3 linked regions of the Oryzias latipes genome follow. The protein of the gene in region 2 purifies or fractionates together with the protein of the main gene of each other region. This does not show direct contact. Links are inferred from orthologs where the notes say so. Each region holds a gene or a part of one and is shown on either strand. Other genes may lie near its edges. The genes, in order: stxbp4, ptpn14 and pdlim7.

What was found.
Region 1: the proteins of ptpn14 (region 2) and stxbp4 purify together in Homo sapiens (affinity purification with mass spectrometry; 3 studies listed by BioGRID and IntAct, counting the BioPlex papers as one, with this or other methods). This does not show direct contact. The link is inferred for Oryzias latipes from reciprocal best matches to the Homo sapiens genes PTPN14 and STXBP4.
Region 3: the proteins of ptpn14 (region 2) and pdlim7 purify together in Homo sapiens (affinity purification with mass spectrometry; 3 studies listed by BioGRID and IntAct, counting the BioPlex papers as one, with this or other methods). This does not show direct contact. The link is inferred for Oryzias latipes from reciprocal best matches to the Homo sapiens genes PTPN14 and PDLIM7.

What each region holds. Positions count from the first base shown.
Region 1 is NC_019877.2:24,516,345-24,519,995, reverse strand, and holds part of stxbp4 (syntaxin-binding protein 4), read right to left. Parts: intron 2,616-3,651; coding exon 2,550-2,615; intron 2,306-2,549; coding exon 2,105-2,305; intron 36-2,104; coding exon 1-35. UniProt on the Homo sapiens protein: Plays a role in the translocation of transport vesicles from the cytoplasm to the plasma membrane. Inhibits the translocation of SLC2A4 from intracellular vesicles to the plasma membrane by STX4A binding and preventing the interaction between STX4A and VAMP2.
Region 2 is NC_019882.2:9,205,427-9,209,780, reverse strand, and holds the end of ptpn14 (tyrosine-protein phosphatase non-receptor type 14), read right to left. Parts: intron 3,396-4,354; exon of another isoform or gene 3,042-3,395; coding exon 2,913-3,041; intron 2,457-2,912; coding exon 2,222-2,456; intron 2,146-2,221; coding exon 1,982-2,145; intron 1,906-1,981; coding exon 1,777-1,905; 3' UTR 586-1,776; downstream 1-585. Other genes in the region: N-lysine methyltransferase SMYD2, read left to right, coding at 97-205, 376-456. UniProt on the Homo sapiens protein: Protein tyrosine phosphatase which may play a role in the regulation of lymphangiogenesis, cell-cell adhesion, cell-matrix adhesion, cell migration, cell growth and also regulates TGF-beta gene expression, thereby modulating epithelial-mesenchymal transition.
Region 3 is NC_019868.2:19,535,391-19,539,041, forward strand, and holds part of pdlim7 (PDZ and LIM domain protein 7), read right to left. Parts: intron 1,827-3,651; coding exon 1,675-1,826; intron 1-1,674. UniProt on the Homo sapiens protein: May function as a scaffold on which the coordinated assembly of proteins can occur. May play a role as an adapter that, via its PDZ domain, localizes LIM-binding proteins to actin filaments of both skeletal muscle and nonmuscle tissues.

The sequences.
Region 1 (3,651 bases), on a different chromosome or scaffold from region 2:
ACCGTCACCCTCTTCTTCAGCTCCTCTGTCTGCTCCTGTGCCGGAAAGTTGAAGGGTGCAAAAACCAACACACCATGATGATAGTGATCATCCTGTCTGTCTATGTGGAGGAAAGAAATCGTCTTTCACTGACTCCAATCCCAGCTAGCAGTGAGGCAACAACCATCATCCGTTTTGACATCCTGACCCAGAAAACTTTGGCCAGTAATCTCACAGGAACCCTGCGGTCACGAGGGGCTCAGGGACTCACTTCTCTTGAACATCGGCTTTGATACCTTTCTGCTCATGAGCATCTCGTCTAAAAACCTTCTCCTCATGAAACGCTGTGATGGCAACACTCCGCTCAGAAGCCCTGAGCTCATGAATCTTCTGATTTTGAAAAATGTGCTCAAACCTTTCTTCTCTGAACTCTTCTTAGGAACCCATTTCTAAAGCCTTAGTCACGCCGCTCTGGGCCCAAAGAGAGGAGCAGCCAAATCTTAGGGGGGCCGCTGGTGTCTTGAGGCTTGTGTGGTGACCTCACAGGTCGTCATGAAAATGGAACGTACCATTGTCTTTTCTGAAATATTTATGAGGTTAATGTAAGTTGAACGCACTTATGAAGTCCAGCTGCTGCTTTCGTACGGTGTCCATGCACCACACTCTTGTCGTTAGGTGCAAGTACTGGTTCCTTACTGATGACGTGCAAATGCTGCGTGCACGGGGCGGGCACGTGATGAGCAAGCGCCCGTAGACTCCCTGAGGAATGACATCACAAACTTCTGTGTTTAATTTCCTCAATTCCAACAGTCAGCCTGCAAACAAAGATGCAGCAAAGGGGCGAACGCACCAACAGGTCCCTGTGCAGAACCTGGGGAGGGGGGCTGTAATCTGTATAACATGCCAGTGTCTCAGCTACTTCATCCTTACTTTCCCGTACGTGTTGTTTACGTGTTCACTCAAACCTGTCACCCGCTGCAAGCCTGTAGAAAAATGTTCAGGAACATCTTTGCTCTACGGCCTCACAGAGAGGTCTACAACCTTGATGTTTCGTGTGAACCACCTGTGTGTCCAGATAAGCCTATTTATTGCCCGCAGACAGCTGTTTCCACCCTTAAGGGCAGTTGTGGCCAAGCCTTATGATTATTCTGTTCAAAAACTCCTTAGAGGTGAATTCCTTTGGACAAATTGAGTGCAGACTGAGTGGTTTGGTTCATTTTCTTATTGCAATTTGGGTAGAACTATAGCACGTCCATAGAATCATTTGGGTGACAATTCCTGCTCCAACCGGCCAGAAATCACCAGGGTTTGGCAGCACAGCTGTGGAAAACCCATCACAGGGGTCCTGAGAGCCACAGCTGTTGTTGGGATACAGTTACACTTTTCTGAAAACCTTTTTGAATTTCCCCACCAGCTGTTTTGAAGTCTGTTTCACGTGTGCTGCTTGCTATTTTGCAGCTTAACACAGGAAACGTGTAGAGCTGATGACCAAACGTTTTCCAGCCGTGAAACCAGAAGTCCATTGAGACGACTAATACAGACGACTAATATAGTCGTCTCAATGGGCTTGGTACCGCTAATTGTAAAGTAAACATGAAATCATAAGGATCATGAAGTTCTGACTAACTAAACAGACTAAACTAAACTGGGCGTCCCTGCCTTAGACCCTCCTTCTCAGTAAAGTTTTTATGAGCTTTTTAACTTTGGGTTACTAACTTAGTGGTCAGAGAAGCTGTTTTAAGTCACATGACCCATCAAGACAGACTGATGTGGTGAACAGAATCTGGTCCAGATTCCAGCTGACTCGTCGGTGCTCCTACCCCTGGCTGTGGATCCGCTCATCTGCTGGACTATTTAAACACGTAGTTGTAGTGTTAGATAAGTTAATTCTCTCTATGAGTTCTGGTACATGGCCTGTCTGTCCTGGGGGAGGATCCCTCCTTCATGTGGACACCCCTGAGGTTTTTTCGTTTTTTCCCGTTTTCTTTAGGAGTTTTTCCTTACCGTGAAGGGGGGTCTAAGGGCAGTTAGTTCTGTTTAGCCATTACCTATTGAACTGTATGACCTAATTACTCCTGGACATCTTTCTTTTTAATCAAACCAAACAAAACAAGTGAAAATGCACCTTAGAAGTCCCACATTCCTCCTTTTTGGTTGATGCTGGGTGTTCCATCCTCTGGGTCTTTAGTTCTGCAATCTCAGCTTCCAGGAGGTGGATCACCTCTTCATAGTCCATCTCCATCCCCCTTGCCTGCTTCTGGGCTTCCTCGGCTTGCTGGATGCGAGTCCTGAGAGCTCTACTCTCCTCTGCTCCCACTTTAACATCCTGCAGAAAAGACAGAAGCACACAATCCTCACTGACAGTCATGGACACAACAAATACCAGCGTCACAATTTATTTAAAGAGAAATCTAAAAAGCAAAAAGAGAAAACAGAAACTGATTATCAACCTATCTGTAAATTTAACCTTTAACATTTATGCGGAGCTGCATCTTTGTTCTAAAACTATGCTGGAACTGATGAAAAGAGACAACTAGAGCTTTCACCAAAGACCTGCAGACGAGACTCACCTGCTTAGCTTTCTTGAGATCCTCCTCCAGGTCCTCCTGCGTTCTCTGGGACTGCAGGAGCTGTTCCTGTGAAGAAACACACCGATGAGCAGCTGAACCCTGACCTGAACGCCACATCTACTCCAGACCTGTAGCTTTGAAACAATAACAACTATTTGGTTGTTTTTTTATCTAAGCTACAGTTTTAAATGTTGAAATGAAATTTTAAACAACACACTAACTGTTGCCAGTAAAAGGGGGCGACTTGCTGCTCTGTAGGGTTCATATGTTTGTGAATCTGACTGATGACGTCAGTGCCTCACCAGCTGTGAACCTAACCACACGTCACTGTTGTTAATTTATTGCTGCAGTTGCAAAACCTCCATTTTGTGTTTTCCTTAGTAACTTTTGTCCAACAATTGCCGCAATCACTACACACATGTTCCGAATTTCCATCCATTTGCAAAAAGTGCAATGAGAATCTGAACCAAATAAAGGAAACCGTGCAGCCGTTTGAGTGCAGGGTAAAGTTTCAGGCTCTGTTGGGTTTACTCTCCTGCCATATTAAAGATGTGCTGCGCCTCAAGGCGTAAATGGCAGTAAGAAGTAAGAGGAATATAAAAAAATGTCCTTTGTTCCAGTTTGAGCTCTGATAAAATTCAAATCAAACAAATCAATCCCCTGAGATTGTTACGAACAATAAACGAAGCAACAAACACTCAAAAATGAGAATTCTTTTAGGTATATTTAGGTTGTGGGAAAAGTGACCAGCGAACTGCTGTGAAATCTCCCTCTAGTGCTCTTTTGAGAAACTAACATTTGGTCATTTTGACCAATTTGGGAAAGGAAGGTAGTGTTTGATTTTTAAAACAGCAATCAATGGATTTTAAAAGGAAACAAATCGGGGTGAAGAGAAGACCTTGTTTCCTTGGCATCAGCAGAGATACAGGAGAAGTGAGACAGTTAAAACAAAACTCATGTTTGAATCCTCCCTCAGGCGTGTTTGGCTGCTTTAAAAAAAGCACTTCTTTAGAAAAGCCTCTCAGCATTGATTTGACTCTGGGTCTGTGAGAAACAAATGGGAAGCCGTGCAAGAAGAAGACATAGCAACTGAAAAAAAGAA
Region 2 (4,354 bases):
ATAATACTATTTTTTCTTCTAATTGCGGACTCCTTTTGACAGTTTTGATATTTTTTTTAAGTGAAATATTTAAAACTCTGTCTCATTTCAACACAGCAAACGTTACCATCCATACTCCTTAAATGTGTCGTCCCTTTACCTGAAGCTGGGCAGGATCTACATGGCACTGGGGAGGCACTCGGCAGGAATCAACGCTCTCACAAAGGTAACAAACTGATCAAAGAAATGTATATAATATAAATGTGTTCCTTTTGTTGTTTTGTATTAAACAAAATAATGCACAGTAGCTTTAATCTTTACAAAAATGCAGGTTAAAATATTTATGCTTAAAACAATAAAAGGCAATAAAATATTTATATTTTCTTGTGTGTGCAGGCAATGGCTATAATGGAAGTGGCTCATGGGAAGGATCACCAGTATCTTAAAGACATACGCAAAGAATTATCACAAAAATGAGGAGGATTTGATTGGAGAGTTGAAAATTTGTGAAACGGTCAACACGGGTAAGCTTTTTATCATCAGTGGGGGTTTTTTTGTTTTGTTATTTAAGCACAAAGGGAATAAATGGCAATGAGGCCACAGATCTAAAGAAAATAAGGCTTTTACTGCATGATAAGCAGGTATAACAGCTTCATACATGTCTGGGGGGGGGGGGGGGGGGGGGGGTCTGAATGCACTGGAAATGCATATACAAAACATATGTACAGAATCTGTGAAATGTGTTTAGGAGTTTGGCCAGAAACAAAGAAAAACTGAAGAGCTAAATAAATATAAAAAAAGCAAGAGGAATGCCTTGTGAGGAAAATACTGTCAAACAGAGAAGTGCAACAAAACACTTGTATGTCCAAAAAAAGCACAGTCTAAGTATCAGCAAACATACTGAAATATATACATGGGAATATTTAAAAATAAAAAAAGCATGCATAGTTTAACATTTTGCGGTAGTTAAAGAGTACCAAGTCAAGAAAAGACATATATAAAACAGTGTCACATGCCATTATGTACAGATTATTCTTAAAGATGTAGAAAAAATACATTTAAAGTCATAAAAGTCATTTTTAGAGTGGTATTTTACATAAAGGATAAAGGAAAGTGGAGTTAGCTTCTGGATTTGATCACTTTTTATATTCTTTTCAGTGTCTAATCTTTAATTTTTATGCTTTAAAATTATTAATTTGTCTGTAAAATCTTAATTTAGACATTAAAGGGAAACGGGGTTTCTTCTATAATATTTTAGTGAGGCACCATTAGAACGAAGGCAGTTTTCTATGTATCGCTTTTATAACTTATTTTTAGTATTTAAAAAAAAAACAGCAATTCTTTTTCAAACGAATAGAAAATACATTTTGTAAATTTTGGGTGCGTTTCTTTAAGGAAAATATCAAATATACGAAAAGGTTTAGGCATGTTTAAGAAGGACAAAAGAGAATAAATCAGTTCAGTCTTTTTAAAAACAAAACTTTTAACACAGTGTGTCTGTAGTAAATATTTTGTTTAAAATATGAAAATCTGTCTGAGCAATAACAACACTTGTCTGTGTAAATTGCAACACTGCTGCCCCCTGCTGTTCATGCCGTATAACACCATTTGATAAATGTTCAACTGAAACTGTGATTTCTTTTTATGCTTCTTAAGTAACAAGCATCTGTTTACTCACCTGGATGTTATGAGAATAAAAATAACACAGCTGGAGAAGCATTTTACATGAGTTAAAGAGTCTATCAGTAATACTTTTGAGTGTCGTCTTGATGATTTGAAGTACCACATCCTGTGATGTCAAATGAGGCGGGAGTTCTTGAGGAACTGAATGAGAACCTGGTAGACAAACTTGTACTGGGAGATGGTCTGAACCATCAGCATCCTCTGCTGCCTAAGCTCCGATAGCATGGTTGGAACTTCCACCGGCTGCAGGGGAAATGGGAATTTATTTCCTATTTCAATACAATTTAAAGAGAAACTTTGGGGTTTCTGTATCTCACACCTCGTTGTGTTCCAGACAGCTGATCATGAGCTCAGTCAGGATGACCACTCCGGTGCGGCCCACCCCAGCACTGCAGTGCACCACCACCGGGGGGTTCAGGCTCTTTGAGGTGTCCAACATAGAATTAGTGTGCCTCCTAACAGATTGGATTTCCTCTAAATAAGCTTCAGAGAAAAAAAGAGAGACTTGACTTAGATGTATGTGATGGTCACAAACAAACGCAGCAGGATGGATACTCACAGAGAAATCCAGTGACATACTCAGGACACCCCTGCTCGGGCCAGTCGGTGTACTGCAGGTGCCACACCGTCCTCTCCTGACCAGAGAGGAGGTGTTTGACCTTTAACCCTGTGGTGGCGTAGCATCCCGAGTCCGTGCGGAATTTGGTGGTCACCTTGTATTTTCCGTGAGTGGCTGAATTGTGTTTGGAGCCCAGTTTGGGCCAATAACGATGACTCTTAGATCTTCCACCCTCCTTGATGGGGAAATAAAGAAGGCTGTATGTTTAAGATTCATAAACTCTGCACTCTTTAAACAAACTCTGCAAAAAACATATATATATATATTATTAAAAAAAGAATTTTTCTTGAGCATAGAGATTTCCCTTATTGAAAGTTTTTTCCACACACTTTCCATCGCTTATTTTTTCCTTCATTTTCCAAGTTTTAATTGTGTTAAAGTTTGTTATAGACCTAAAGCTCTCACTGAAACTTGAGCCTTTCTGGTTTTAAGATCTAAATGGGTGCAAGTGACTAGAATGTTTTCCAAGTAAAAAAAAAAGTAATCAGGATGGTACAATTTTTTTTGCTAAATTAAAGAGATTTGTACAGTTTTTTTTTTTTTTTTTAACAGGTTGACCTTTTTATGTGTAATCCTAATTTTGAGAATTAACCAGATCCATGCTAAAAGTGATTGAAATCTGTGTGGGTACCTCTTCTGCAGTAACCATGGCGATGACACTGACCCCCTGCTCCCACACCATCTGCCAGAAGTCTCCACAAGTGTTGGCTAGAGGGCCTTGGGTTGCTATGTAGTGCCACTCCTCACCCCTGATCATGACCTAGGAAAAAAAAAGTGTTCAGACATCTGTAAATAGGTCAGTCAATCAATAACTACATTTATATTTAAAAACAACAACATTTACATTTTGAGGTAAACTTAAAGACTGACCAATGACTGATTCTTCATGAAACCACTAGAGGGCAGTGTAACAGGCACAGATTTTGACCTACAATATTTCCCTTTTACCATTCTTTTATTTTATGCATTTGTGTGTGGTTTTTTTCTAATAAAATTTGAACAGTCCAGACCTCAAATGTTTTTTTTTGTTTGTTTTTCTTTTGTCTTGTGATCGAAACCTTTTGGCAGAATAAGAACACATTGAGATAGAAAGTCTTTTGTCTTGGTCCAAAAATTAGAAAAAGGAACATTAGAGTTACAAAAATGAAAGCAACCACTTTATCATAGTCTAACATTCATGCATAACTTTATTACAGCCTTTATAGGGACTAATAGCTCACACACACACACACACATAAGCAGTTCACACACCATTTTCAGCACGGCACACACAGAACTTGAGGAACTGGGGTTGCTTAGGAGGCTTGGAGTTTGGACAAAATTATTCGGGAATTCCAGGAGCTCTAAGAGCTTAAAGCACAAACAGACTTCAATAGCTGCCTTTCATCTGCTCCTCCGAGCTATTCCCATCTTGGAAACAACCACAATACAGACTGGAAGAAGGCTGAACACTTTAGACCTAACTTGATTATGTTCTAGTAATTTTATTTTAATGCCACTGACAATAAAAAAATAACAATTTAGCCACAGGACAAACTTAGATTTGGGGATTTTGCATAATTGCAGCCTGGTCAAGTGAAATTCCAGAGCGGATCAAGTTGACTCCTTAAAAAATAAGTCAAAAACATATTTGGTACTTTTCAGTGATGATCCAAACTTAAACCTTCATTAAAAGTTTGTAAACCTGTAGAATTAGTAATTTGGGACTATTTTTTTTAAATCCCTTTAGCTCGTCTTTTTCCGCAGAAACCGAGAACTTCTTGCATGAGCCCAATTTTATTGTTCCAACAGGGTTACAGGAGGATATTTTAGATAAGATTAGATGGGATTGTTTTGCAAAGTCCTTTAAATTTCTGGACCAGATGAAAGAGAGGAAAGTAAATGGGATTTTTGGGGAGGATGCTTAAAAAGACAAAGAAAGGAATCGTGGGAATTGAAGGATAAGAAGAAAAAAAGGCACGGTAAGGTTTATCATTAGATTCTAAAGGCTTATTTTTGTTCCCAAGCACACATCCACACACTCAACACATGGAAACATCTCTGTTGGTAGAAGCTTCCTGCTCCGTTTTATTG
Region 3 (3,651 bases), on a different chromosome or scaffold from region 2:
AAGAAAAGGTGTTGAAATGTAAAAGAAGAGACTCTTGGCAGGCAGTAGTAAGGTGAACAAGATAACACAGCTTTTCTCTTATTACTTACGAGGATCAAAAAAATCAAAATGAGTCCCATAAAAGCAGCAAGCTCATCTTTATTGCTCTAACAAGTCGATACCTTCTCATTTTCTGAAGGTTTTAGGCCCTTGAATGATTACATTTTTATCTCTCTTTGGGCCTAAAATCTTTTTTTATGTCCACACTGCAGATGAAACATTTCCTCTAGTCTTCAGAGAGACTTTATAAAAAGTATTTGCAGACTAATGTGTGCAAATTCTGCCGACGGGCATGCAGTCTGCTGCAAATTATTTTCTTACTGAATTTAAAAAAAAGTGCTTTTATGAGAAATTGCGTGTCCTTTTTGTGTGTTTCTGGTGCTTTTTCAGGATGTGAGGTTTTCTTTTGGAATAGTTTAGATTAAAAGAACAGAAGGTCAGCACACAGAGCCACCAGGAGCTGCTGTGGAAAAGAAGACAAATACTAGAGCTGGATGTAGAGATGAAATTGTGTGCATGCCTCAGTTAATAGCTTTTAATAAATCACTAGTTGTGCTTGACTTACACCTCAGACAATTATTAAACTGTGTTTTAAACACAGATTCCAGCTATATTTGAACTTTTTGTTGCATATTAAACCAGAGTGATGAGTTGTCAGAGTTTGTTCCTCTGGTAAAATGTAGGTTTTTTTTTATAAACCTGCAAAGGTCAAATGCTATAATTCAAACCATCTTTTAGTCCTTAACACCTCAAATAATTTTTCATATTTAAAATGAAAACCAGCCATTTCAAAGCTGATTTAATTGGATGCAAGTTTGTTTTACATTTGCCATAAAAAATATATTAAAGATGACTAAAGTGTAAGCTTAACCTGCTAATGTAAATGTTCCTGCACCTTTAGAATCAACAGAGGGAAATAATCAAATTAAACAAAAATTAAATCACTAAAATAATACAAAATAAAACAGAAGGCAATCTTAAACAAATCAGCACTTATGAAAACAAATGCTGTGCCCGTTTGAAAGAAGAAAAAAAAGGTTAAAATAATATTTTTTTTGTATTTTTGCTAGGCTTGTACAATTATTCACAAATTTATCATTATCGCGATTTCAGGCTGTGCAATATCCATATGGCAAAAGTCAGCAAAAATCACGATAAATGGTAAACCTTAAATGTGCTAAAACAATCTTATGGCAACTTGAACTCTTCAATGAATATAATAAATCCCTGTATGCATTTAACCAATCAGATGGAGCCCTTCACGTTGTTGACCAATCAGGTGGAGCTTTTATGTTAGATTTTCCCCTGCTAATTAAACAAAGGTCATTTGGAGAATAATCTAAGGTATTTTGACTCCTATTTAAATTAAACTTTTGCAGTGAAATGGAAATGTTTTTGTTGTTTTTGCCATTTGTTCGTTAAACGCAAGTTATATCGTCTCTGCAGTATTGATCACCAATATCGCATATTGCGAGTTTTCTTCATATCGTGCAGCCCTAATTTTTGCAATAATCTGTCAACGTAAAGCAAACTTGAAAGTTCCCTCAGTCTCATAAAAAGTGCCAGTGAGTGTTTTTTGAATATTTAGATTGTTGTGAGTCCATGGGAGGAATGAGAAATCCTGTTCCGGCTTACCTGCTGAGGGTGAGGGTGAGGGAGTCTGTTGCTGCTCTAATCTTGTTCTGTGCCTCCACATGAGTCATGTCTTCAGCATTGGCATCACAGATCGAAACCACCCAGTCTCCCACCCCGACTCCAGCCTGAGCCGCCTTTCCACCTGGAGTCAGCTGTGGAGGACAAAGATGCAGAAGTGATTTAGTGGGAGAAGATTATTAACAGAGTTATGAAATGAAACCCATATGACGGAGAAGCAACTTCAGCAGGTCAGAAAAAACATATAGGTAGCCGATAACGCAAAAAATGAATAAACAAGAATACATTTTTTTAAAACACGTAGATAAAATCTATTTATTACCAAGTAAAAAAAACTTTGTCTTTCCAGCAGATCTGGTGTGATTGTTACAGCTTAAAATAATAACTTATTCAAATCAGTACTTGTATCCCCCACTTTCTCACCTCTCTTCCTTTTACTCTCCCCCCCCCCCCCCCCCCCTCACATTCTTCCCCTCTCCCTCCCCACACACACTGAATTTAACAAATAAATAAAAAATAATACAACAAAAAGGGGTTTATACAAATCTACACCCTGGTTTCTCGAAGCTATATAACCTCTTTTTGTGATAGTAAAACCTGTCCAACACAAAAAGCCTTCAGCTCTAATCTGTTTGCTCAGCTGTTGGACAAAACAAGTTAAAGAAAAAAAAATCAAGTAAAAAAAAACTAATTGTGCATCTTTGCATGTTTTTTAAAGGTAATGCATCCATGTGAAAAATCCATGTTTTAATAAAAGTCATACATCAAATCAATCTTTATTTATAAAGCATTTTATGTTATAGAGTAATGCAATGTGTTTTACAGAATTAAAACATCTTTCTAAAAAGAAAAAAGGAGGACTAGGACTAGGGCTGCAGGATAGCAGAAAAACTTGCAATGTGTGATCTTAGTAGTCAATATTATTACATAATTTCCGTTTCCTTTCAACTGTTTTATTTAAATAGAAGTCAACTTAACTTAAATTATACTCCAAATGACCCACATAACATCTGATTGGTCAGCGACGTGAACGGGTCAGTCCGAATGGTCAAATCAAGAAAGGGTTTTTATTTGATTTGTTAAATACTTTAAGATCCCATGAGATCAATTTAGCATGTATGTTATAATTTGAGGTAACCATTTATCACAAAGGCTGAACTCATGATGCGATTTATTGTGCAGGCCTCGTAAGGAGTCATTTTTGGGTATATTTCTGTTTATTTTTAACTTAACTTAAGTGAAACTGAGTTTTAAGGGTTTCAATTGATCTGTAATAAATTGTAAAAGCTTTATTTTCCCAATCCTTTTTAGGTGCAATTTGATTTTAGAAAGTGTCAAAAGAAATGTGTTTTTCTTTTTTATTTGATTTATTTTGTTTGCTTATCTTATCGACAGAGATTCCTACAGAGTGTAGTAATAAGTCTCCTGTTTTTACAACGTTACCTCACAGTACCTCACATATACAGAAACACACTAAGTCATGTTCAGCTGGCTGTCTGTAACATCTGTTAGCACCCAATAATTAACAGGAGGAGCGTACCCGTCTGTTTCACTCAGCCTTTCCGCAAAACAGACATTATAAGGTCATCCTGATGTCATCCATCAACGGCAAACGATCGAGACCAGATGTGACTTAAGACTATGAAAGACGCGCTTGATAGCTGAAGAAAAGGTCCACATGTTATCGTTAGTCAGAGGCTTTACTGGAATCAAATGCATTCTCACTCATGACAGGCTGACAAAAGGATGACATCATCCCCTCACGCCGACAGGGAGGCTTGCAGGCGTGCGAGTCAGAGCTGGAGTCCTGTCGCGACAGGAGGGCCTGACATCACTTCAACCCAACATTCAGTGATGGTTCTGCACACGTGCACATACAGCACCGCCTTGATGTATGCTCTGCTGCACCGCGCAGAGACGAAACCATGTATTAGTAAGGGCTTAGTCAGCATAAGCGTG